Daphnia pulex: one gene and its partner. The protein of the gene in region 1 interacts with the protein of each later gene in a biochemical or structural test. Links are inferred from orthologs where the notes say so. Each region holds a gene or a part of one and is shown in the gene's direction. Other genes may lie near its edges.

Region 1 (5,420 bases):
AGTAGGCAGTCTATCTATTGGCACTGCGCTCTATTGAATTGCAATGGGAGACGAATAGAGACATCAGCAGGAACCTATTGCATTGCTGTTCCGCAATGCCCTCGGCAATGCCTGGTGTATAGAAATGTAATTGCAGTAGTACAATAGACTTGCAGCAAATCAGCAAATAGGATTGATAATGCTGAGTTTGGTTGAGTTATGCACAGAAATGAGTCGTAAAAAGAAATAGAGTATATTATACGAAACTGGATTTATATTGGGAACCATATGTGTTCCCATTTTCTTTCGATTGAACATTTGTCACACACATAGAACTTGGCAGACTGTTTTTGCTCGTATTATTTCTTTTTTTCTTCAAAGTTATCTGTTTTTCATCTCCATGTCGTTAACCCGGCCTTTTACGTCAGCAGATAGTCACGCTCATGCCAGATACCACAGAGAAAAGCGACTTGAAAGGGGATGCATTTTCGTTGGTCGTGTGCCGCACGGAAATTCGCTCATCTCCGACGAAAAGGCCTTTAAATTGAACCTCTCAGAGGGTGGAAAAGACAAACAACACCTGATCGCCAAGTATAAGCTCAACAACTATTTATCTATCTCTTCTTCTTCAATATGCTGTACAAGTCAATGGTATAAATCCCTAAAAATATTCTTTTCTTGTGCTGTAAATATCCCTGCTGGCTTATTGCAATTATAATTCTGTCTAATGGAATTTAAAATATTATTGCGCAGACCCTTTTGGTTTTGGTGGCTTTGGCCGCTTGCGTCTTCGCCATGGATGCTGAAGTCCAGGATCAGGAGGCTGCTGAGCAATCCTACCGCAATCCTACCGGGCCGCCTATGACACCTATTCATGGTGTCTACGGCCCACCGTCGTACCAATACGGCGTCAATGCCGGTGGAGACATAAATAGAAACAGGTTTCCCGGTTGGCTCTACGGTTGAGAGTGGCAACACAAGTTCCCCAATTCTTTTTGCATTCAATGTCAACATTTAAAAAACTGTTTCGCTGTTGACTGCAAATGGAAAATACACACACGTATATGGCAAGTCACTGTACAAGCACTACTACACTTTACAACATTTACAAAATTAAAGCCCCTATAACATTCCCCGTCTTCCTTATATTAAACCATCACCATTTGCGTCTCTACTGGTTTTTGTGACTTGTAGACCTTTCACCATCTGAAAATTGCCACCCAACGCGCGTACATTTTGCATAAAATATTTTCCAATTTGATGTCATTTTACAACTGCCCAAAATATGGAACACTGTAATTCGAAATGACAGAAACAAAACAAAAAAACTATTTGATTACTTACAACTTTTTTTAAAATATTTCTAACTCGATTATATTACAAAAATACATCTGATATGTTTGAACACGGCGTTTTTCAAAACCGGAATAAATGGGCGTATTTACACTCGACTAAAGCAAAATAAATGTTGAAAAAAAAAACCTGTTGAGACCGTCCCGGATTCGATACGCTGAGTCATTTGAATTTCAAGTTTTGTCTCTCTCTCAGTCTAAAACAACGAGCCGTTTTGTCTCTCGAGAATCTCGACCAATCAATTGCCAAAGAAAAACAACGATGCATGTCATTTGATATTGATTGTTGGCTGGTGTTGTTTGAAAGCCCGCCCGCGAAATCAGCCGAACCAGTTCGCCACCTAGCGGTCGAAATAGAAATCTCTCGCCGCATTCCTGGTGACCAGACTGGGGCGCCTGTCATTTACGTCGACTCGGCCGAGACCTCTGCAGACGTCAAGCATTTGCTGGCGCCTTAAACTCATCAAACGCTTTCAAGTGAAATAGTTTGATTCCTTTCCACTGTTCGATGAGCTTTCAGGTGAGTCGTGCATTTGTTTACAGTCGGCCCTGACCATCTCTGACGGCGTTTCTCGGTGGATTTGCTTGGCATTCGACAAGGAAGAGCAAGGGCCCCCGCAACAAGCCGTCGACCCTGTGTGGTGCTAGTTGGAACGGGTTCTCTCTTACCTAAATTCCATCTAAAATGTTGACTCATTAGCGTCCCGAATAGGTGTAGCCACGATTCCCCCTGGGCCTCGCTTCTCTGGCTCTGCTGTGATTGCCAAGTGCAAGCCCTGGCCATTTCTCATTCGCAAACTCCTGTGAAGATGTCAAAACAACAAGCAGAAGGCCTCTCACTCTCCCTCCGAAGGCTTGGTCAATTCTCCCATGACCCGTTGCCAATGCAGTGAAGGAATGGGGGTAGAGAGAGAGACGTCTGTGAAATGTGCACATCAAGTTTCGATAATTGAAAGCCCACATGCAATGGCCAAGTTTTGAGGGTTTGTGAGACGTGAAAAGAGTTCCATGAACCTGCCAACCTCCCCCGTAATCAGTTTGAGGTTTCCTTAGCTCCTTCCTGCCTATTCTGGCTGCTCATGTTTCTTGTGGTTTCCCGATAAATGCCAACATCCTACACTGGCATGTGTGTCTGTGTGTGTGTGTGTGCATTGTGTTGACCATCGATGTAATGTTTCTTTCTTTTATTCTCTCTTTTTTTTCCATTGTTGTTTGCATGTGCAGGACTGGCCGCCATGTTCAGCTTTATGAAGAAGGACAAGGCGGACAAGAGGGAGAAAAAGGAGAGAAAAGAAACGAAAAAGCCTCCGACAAAAGATGCTGCTGCTGCCTCCCTTTTCCACCAGCAGTCGTCATCTGGCAGCGGAAGTGGCGGGGTGGTGTACGGAGCATCTGCCGCCGCCGGATCCTCATCGGCCAACGTCGACAAGCTGACGGCCGACGAGCTGCTGCGATTGGACGAAGTCAGGCGGAGTCTCAAGATCCGCACACGCCGCAAAGAGAAGGAAAAACTGCCCAGCGGCATCACGGCCGACTACACGGCCCATTTGGGTCTCCACTTGGTGGACGGCGGCCACGCCTCATCCGGACCCTGGCCGGAACTGCCACACAGTCCCATCAGCGACGGGGGCAGTTGCACCAGCGACGGGACGCCCAGTTTGAATTCCCTGACGTCGACGACAACGACGACGGCCATGATGATGATGAAACAGGAGACGTTGTCGGTTTCCTCCCCCATGCCCGTGCCGCCGGCCCGCGGGATCCTCAAGGGCAAGTCCTCGTACGGCCTGGAGTCTCCGCCGCTGCTGGAACTGGACGACGACAACAAATTGGTGGAGAACACGTTGAAAAACGAGTTGATTATTTACGAGAAGCCACCGGCTGTGTTGGGGGTCAAGAAATCGCTCTCGAGTCCGTCGGCTGCTGCCCAGCTGCTTCTGCTGCCTCCCCCTCTGCCCAAGTCACAGCCTCCGTCGTCGTCTGCCAACGGGCAGCTGGGCTTTCAGCGGGCGAGGGCAGCAGCAGGAGGAGGAATGCAAACAGAAGAAGAAGACGCGTTTACTTATAGCAGCCCACGACCACATTTGGCACCGCTGGATGCGGCCACAGCTGCTGCCATCGCCGCCGCTGCCGGTCTCGTTCCGGCCGACAATTCCAGGCCGCCATCTGCCGCCACTGCCAAACCCACGACGACGACGACGGTGGTGGCAGCGGTCAAGGTTTTATGGAGCGAACCTCCTGGTGAAGGCTCTGGCTGGCTGGATCGCATCAAAACCCACAAGAGTCTCCATTCTTCCTCATCCTCTTCATCTTCTCTGCCTCTTCCTGCTCTCGTTGAGCCGGCCCTGCCCGAACCCAGAGATCTGACGCTGCAGCGCAAAGAGACGGGCGATTTTGGTTTCTCGCTCCGGCGGAGCGTCGTGGTCGAGCGGTCGCCCAACGATCCGTCCAGGTATTAAAAATAATATCTTCTCGTTATGATTGCTGTGGGGGCGTTAATGACGGGCTCGACCCCGTTTCCCCCATTGATTTCATCCTCCTCCTCCCCCGCCTGCCCGTCTGATATAATCATTTAAAGAAATGTCCGTTTTTGTTTGTTTGTTAATTTCAGGAATTCGGTCAAGAGGACGGTGATTTTCGCCGAGCCGGTGACTGGCAACACGAACAAGCAATTGGATGCGGCTCTTTTGCCCGGCGACCGGCTCCTGGAAGTCAACGGTCAAAACGTTCAGAACACGAACCGCGAGGACATCATCGACATCATTCGGAATTCAGGATCCACCGTCACGCTCAAGGTTGTCCGGCCTTTATTTTTCTAAATGTTTTATTATTTTCATTGATTTACGGCTCCTTATCTCTTTTTTTATTTTTATATTTTTTCTTTCATTACGTTTTACGATTATGACTTGAATTTCAATTTAAACGATTGCGCCTTGGCCGTTCATTGGGGTAGATAAGGTTAGATGGCGCCAGGGATTAACTTTGATGGCGCATTCCCGGAGCTTACCTGGGCTAATAGACCAACCAGTTTTGTGTAGTTTTTTTGGTGGGGTGGGGGACGATCAAGTCCAACGAGAGAAAGGCCACAACGGAAAAGAAGAGAAAGAAAGAATTTATTTTTTTACAAGCGAGTAGTAATCTGGCCAGCAGCGTGCGTCACGTACTGCATAATCATTACGGGGCAGGATGCGACTGTACGCGTGATTTATGGCCGCGTGATTTATTTTCACGTTTTTGAATGCGTTCGCTCGCGCCAGCTCAAACGTCTCGAGCCTCTTGGCCTTGCGTGAAACATTCTGCCCGCCCGTCCTGCCCGTCTCTCCTTGGCAGTTGAGTAGAACCGAACCAAAAACACCTGTGGCGACGGCGGCGGCGTGCCGATTATCGCACGAAGCCTTTAATCCGCTGCCACGCCACGACCCGATTAATCTCAGCTTGCCCAATGTTTGACTAATCGCCAAAAGTCAAAACGCCTGTGAAAACGGGCCAGCCCGTTGCGAAACGGTTTCACGGGGCGACGGCAGCAGTTGCGAAACGACCAAAACGAGTCGCTCACGACGCCGACTGAAACAAACAAATAAACGACGACCGCCGAATTTAAAAAGCGAACGCGAACCAAAAAGAGAAGAAAAAAAAATGACCTATTCCTAAATCGGCTCGTGTGTGGCATTTGATTCAGTCACGATCCCGTCCAAACCAGTTTTTTGTTTTATTTCTTTTTTTATCTTGAATTTTTAAAATCAAAATTAAATGCCGGTGGAAGAAACTGGTCGTGTCGTCGTCGGACGTCTCAGATATAAAGTGGCGGCGCTGTTGTTGTTGTTGTTGTTGTTGTGTCTTTTTTATTGTCTTGATTTATATTCGATGATTTGAATTTTTTTGGGGGGGTTTTGTTTTAACGACACAGGTGCAGCCCGTGGCCGAATTGGTGGAGTTATCGCGCCGCTGGGCGGCCGACGGCCGTCAAATTCGCCTCAACGACGTCATCGCTAAAGGTGGCACGTTGCGCCGCACCGGATCCTTACGCCACCGCCATACAAAGGTAAACGACAATCGGCTACTACTTGTTCTTCTATTCCATCCAGTTCT
Region 2 (5,485 bases), on another chromosome or scaffold:
CCATTATGTAGTACTACCGGCAGAGTTACGGGAAGGAACTGCTGATGATGATCAGTTTCCTTTGGGTGGTGTTTGTCTCGGGCCGAAAAAAAGGTCCCGACAAGAGTCCAATTACCATTGAGATGGAAGAGAAGAGGGTTAGGTTTTTATGATAAACAAGACTCAGTCCTTTTACTTATTCGAAATGCGCACAAGTGCGTAGACGTAATAGACTGCAGGAGACACACATCGGCTTGAAAGTTGGCGCAATTGTTCATTCGCAAGAGTCTCACTAGTTTCTTTTCTTAAATCGAATGTTCAATAGCGGCTGCTGCTCCTGTCGTCGTCGTCGTCGTCGGCCGAGCTACATATACAAACAAAAAGGAAAAGGAAAAAAAAACTCTCCAGTCCATATGCTCTTGAGCTAATGAGGTTGTGATGTGGCAATAAAGCGGCCAGACGTCCCTATCCGCCCGTTTTCTTCGTTCCCTCGTTTTCTTTTCAAAAAGACTACTCCGCAGGCAACAATTGCGCCGGAGAGGACTTCATCTTCTTCTTTTACATGTATAGCTAGCTAGCTAGCTCTTTTTTTCTCTTTTTTAGCGAAAAATGTTTCCAACATAAAAGAGATGTGTGTTGGCCGGCGAATATTACATTTTCAATGTCTTTTTCACGTGTTTACTAACATCAGACGAGTCGGATCAATATTCTCATCAACTGTTCTATGCTGAGCTATTTCCGCTCTTTGCAGTTTTTGGATAACGTTGGTTTTCTAATTAAGGTCAGATGAATTATTTGATTCGCCCCGTAGCATACAAATGCCGGGATTCTCTCGGTCGGCATTCATCCCCCCGACACACGAGCCGCGGTTTCATCATTTCGGTCGGAATCTTGTTTTTTGGATTTTGAGCCGGCACGGAGAACACCAGCTGCCATCTTTCGGCTGCCAACGCCGTTGCTGCTGAGAAGATCGTGACGAAATCCGGATGCGTTTTCACACAAACTCCTCGGCAGTAATTATTATCGGATTAGCTGCCTGCAAGTTGGCTGGCTAGTTAGGTGCCCACGAAAAGTGACCCATTATCGCTCTTACTACTGCAGAGATATGACCAATTTAGTTGCTGGTTTCACCGTTGCTTGAGCCAAATTGTGTTACACAACTTGTAACAAGATAAGCAAAATATTTGCTGACTTTCTACGGATTTTTTAAAAGGATCAGAAAATGGCCAAATATTTACACACATCTTTCGGTTGATATTAGTAGACTAGGCAACGGGGCTACCAGATGTAGAACGTGACTGATTTTTCCGCTTCAACATGTTTACATGTATAGAGTGAATTATTAAGCGCAGGTAAAAATAGGTGCTGATGTAATGCGTCAAACGATCCTGTCATACTGATATACTATTGCGATGTATGGAAATAAATGTTGATTCTTGGAAATCGAGTTTTCATTGCGGAATATAATTACAAATCAATTTTTCATTCGTCGGTAAAAAATTTCGATTTTCTTCCTACACGTCGGATGAAATGGACAAGCGTGTTGTCCATTACAGATTCATTTTTGATTCCCCAATTTAAACTTTGTTAGATTGAACCTGGTATAAGGTCCTGTTACATCCAAATAAGTTTTTTATCTGATTTATCTAGACTTATACCTTTATCTGAATCGAGTTCGAGGCGGATTTCCCCATCGGAATTTTTTAATTGGTAGGTATAAAGCTGCCACCTATCAATTGAAATTGAAACTAGCAAGGAAAACAACTATTTTTCCTTTGATAAAATAAAAATCGTCATTTATGTTTCATCGCAAATATCGGGTCAAATATTGCAACACATTTCTATCTACATTTTCCCATTGACACAAATTAATGTTGTCATAGTTACGATCCGGACGGGAAAGATAATTTTTTTTTAAGGGCTTATGTGTATGAATGTCCAGTGACGGACTGATTGACGAGGGTTATATTTACACAAGATAACAATTCTTTCGAAAGAAAATCGCCTAAACCTTTGCACTACCATAACTGTCATAATTTTCCCGTTTTTTTCTGTGCTTACGTTTACACAATTCACCAAATACGAATCGCGTACCGTGGGAAATACCTTCTGGTTTTTTTCATTTTTGAATTTTTTTACGCCACGTCGCAACTTGCAAGCAGCAGGCTTGTTGCCTTGACGACCAGGCAAAAATCGACGTTTTTACAGAGAGAACCCTACCTGCTTGCCAAAGATTATACGTGTACAAAAGTTCTTCTATACGTGTAAGAAGGCATAGACGAGCCTCCGAATGTCAACAAACTCATCAGCCAGAACGAAGTTACAACTGTAGTGCCCTTTTCATAGTTTAGTTTCCTTCTTCTTGAGTTCTTGAGTTTGTTTTTCGTTGTCTGCGACTGATGAGACGTCGAGCGTATTGCCACAAAGCCAGTATTATTCTTTCACAAGTGCACAGGTCAGATTACCTCCTCTACTTAACAAAGTAGCTCATTACTCTTCAAATAGATACAGTTCAGTTCTTTTGACTAGAATAATTTCCCCAAAAAAAGGATCAAGTCATTATTATTTCATTACATCCAAATGTCAAACTCAAAGTGTATTCATTTGGCATTTAATCATTCATAGTTTGGTGCTTTCTGGAGTGGTTGTTCTCACTTCTCACAGTTCTTTCTGGTTACAGGTTTTGATAGAAAAATGAATCGTGAAGGGGTTGTTCAAAGGAGGACTGCTCGTGTGGGGACTGGTGGCGGAGGACCTGTTGAGATATCGTCAGGTCCAGCTGATGTTGAAGACCGCCGTACAAGTAATGATACAGATGATATGGATGATTTGGATTCCAAAGAAACAAGACTCACCTTGATGGAAGAAGTGTTATTATTGGGCCTCAAAGATAAAGAGGTATACATAATATTTATTGTGTCATACTTGGTCCATTTCCCCCCTAAATTTAATTTTTTTAACTTTACAGGGCTATACTTCATTCTGGAATGATTGCATATCTAGTGGTCTTCGTGGATGCATATTGATTGAGTTAGGCCTACGTGGTAGAGTTGAACTAGAGAAAGGAGGAATGAGGAAACGATCCCTATTGGGGAGAAAAATTCTACTCAAGAATGACTCACCTACTGGAGATGTTCTCCTAGATGAGGCACTCAAGCATGTCAAGGAAACAGATCCCCCTGAGACGGTACAGAATTGGATAGAATACCTCAGTGGTGAGTGTCATTTGTTTAATCCTCCAACTTTAGAATTTTTCATTGATTTTCAAATATTTTTACAGGAGAAACATGGAATCCCTTGAAACTAAGATATCAACTGAAAAACGTCCGGGAACGCCTGGCCAAAAATTTGGTGGAGAAGGGAGTATTAACGACAGAGAAACAGAATTTTCTCTTGTTTGATATGACCACTCATCCTCTCACGGACAATATCATGAAAACTCGTCTTGTCAAAAAGGTGTGACGTCTTCACATTCTCAAAGCCAGCCATATCATTAAACCTTTTGTTCCTTTGACCAAACCATCTACAGGTACAAGAAGCAGTCTTATCCAAGTGGGTAAACGACGCTCATCGAATGGACAAACGCATGCTGTCACTCATCTTCCTGGCTCACGCCTCTGACGTGTTAGAGAATGCCTTTGCCCCATTAAACGACGACGACTACGAGCTGGCCATGAAACGGGTTCGTGAACTCCTCTACCTTGACTTGGACAACGAGAGTGCAAAACCTGGAACCAATGAGTTGATGTGGGCTGTTTTTGCTTCCTTTACCAAATGATAACGTTATTATTGTTACTAATATTGTATTGCTATCCCTTTCGTACACTCCTATCCCTTCCCATATCATTTATTTTTCTTATTTTCTTTGCCTATCCCCTTTCTTTTGATCCTTATTTAGTTTCTTTCTTTTTTTGTTCCGCGTCTCCATTATTTTTCCCGTTTTTTAAGCTACTGGCCATCGAAAAAAATAACCCTACCTTTGTATACCTACATAGCTGCAGCCAGGCTAGATTTTCCAATTCATTCCTTCTTTCAAACCATTTTTCAGTTATTACTAGCCCCTCCTTCTTTTTTTAACAATATTTAGAATATCCTACGAGTGTTATTAATTTTCTCCATTTTGAGTGTGCGTTGGGAAGCCTCGATTTATCTAAAAATCATTTCCAAAATTACCGATCACGCTCACAGTGCACTTGTTTCCTCTTTAATTCAAGTTTTCTTTAAATGGTGAAAGGGAAAATATTCATTTAACGAAACCACTATTATTATTATATAGCGAACTCTCATGATTTAACGTGGGTTGAAACGTGGAGGAAAGTGGGCAGAGGAGAGAGACGTTTTTGTTACAATTCTGGGGAAATCCCGTTGTGGTATGTATTGTAAATATACCTTCCATCGGGAGCGCAGCGCGCCATCTTTAAAAATACAACAATATAAATGAAATGAAAAATATGTAACCTGCAAACTGTGAAATGATTTGCGGATTGCGACCCTCAAAAATTCATTTGGATATGTGTGTTTAACAACTCCCTTTAATCGGCTAATGCTATATATTAGGTACTATATTATGTGGGAGAACGTGTATAACATGTTTTATTTCATTACTGCATGTACACACTATTGGTAGTTTGAATAAAAAAATCAGGAATTCGGATGCAACATGTGGTAGATTTTTATTGTCTTTTGTTCCTTCTTTACAGGTAAAATTCAGTGCTGCCATCTTTACGTACAGTGGTTAGCAACCGGAAGCTAGATCAAGGGAAGCGTGGTTGTTAGAAAATGTGAATTTGGGCTGCTTCCCATCTTATCACAATCTTTGGTGTGATTCCCAATGAATCAAGTAATCAACTCTGAAAATTTGGAAATGAAACATTTTCCGAACAAAAACTGACATCACGTGCGGAGATGTTAAATAACGAAGCGGCAACAGTGGTTGAGTCGTCTGCTTGAATCGGTTGGGTTGGTTGAAATGTGTTGAAAAAAGTGCACGAAAATATCAACATGCTCAATTGATGATTCTTCTTTGTATTTATGAAAGCGCCAATGGTTTGAGCAGTCAACCTTAACATTTTTCTTGATAGACATTGACAATGGATGGAAACGATCAAACGTGCCCAAAATGCAAGACAACCAAATACCGAAATCCTGCCATGATTCTCATGGTAAATGCCTGTGGTCATGCTCTTTGCGAGTCCTGCGTAGAACTTCTCTTCGCCAAAGGTACCCCATTTTACAACTTTATTTACTTTTTTGGAGGGTAGCTCTAGTATCTTTTTCTCAGGCTCTGGGGCTTGTCCGGAATGCAAGTGTGCACTCAGAAGACAAAATTTTAGAATTCAGCTCTTTGAGGATCCTGCTGTTGACAAAGAGGTTGATATCCGCAAGAGAATTCTGAAAGAGTTTAACAAACGCCAGGAGGATTTCTCCACTCTGCGAGAGTACAATGATTACCTGGAAGAGGTGGAGAATATAATTTTCAACCTGGTTTTCGATGTTGACTCTACAA

Evidence for each region. The genes of interacting proteins can lie anywhere in the genome.
Region 2: the proteins of unconventional myosin-XVIIIa-like (region 1) and Golgi phosphoprotein 3 homolog sauron-like form a complex in vitro, tested with the Homo sapiens proteins (2 studies listed by IntAct). The link is inferred for Daphnia pulex from reciprocal best matches to the Homo sapiens genes MYO18A and GOLPH3.

Annotation. Positions count from the first base shown.
Region 1 is NC_060020.1:237,140-242,559, reverse strand, and holds the start of unconventional myosin-XVIIIa-like, read left to right. Parts: upstream 1-1,714; 5' UTR 1,715-1,851; intron 1,852-2,555; 5' UTR 2,556-2,566; coding exon 2,567-3,783; intron 3,784-3,942; coding exon 3,943-4,126; intron 4,127-5,238; coding exon 5,239-5,373; intron 5,374-5,420.
Region 2 is NC_060019.1:8,787,850-8,793,334, reverse strand, and holds Golgi phosphoprotein 3 homolog sauron-like, read left to right. Parts: upstream 1-1,761; 5' UTR 1,762-2,434; intron 2,435-2,659; 5' UTR 2,660-2,673; coding exon 2,674-2,877; intron 2,878-2,947; coding exon 2,948-3,194; intron 3,195-3,259; coding exon 3,260-3,435; intron 3,436-3,508; coding exon 3,509-3,757; 3' UTR 3,758-4,638; downstream 4,639-5,485. Other genes in the region: CDK-activating kinase assembly factor MAT1-like, read left to right, coding at 5,070-5,199, 5,261-5,485. UniProt on the Homo sapiens protein: Phosphatidylinositol-4-phosphate-binding protein that links Golgi membranes to the cytoskeleton and may participate in the tensile force required for vesicle budding from the Golgi.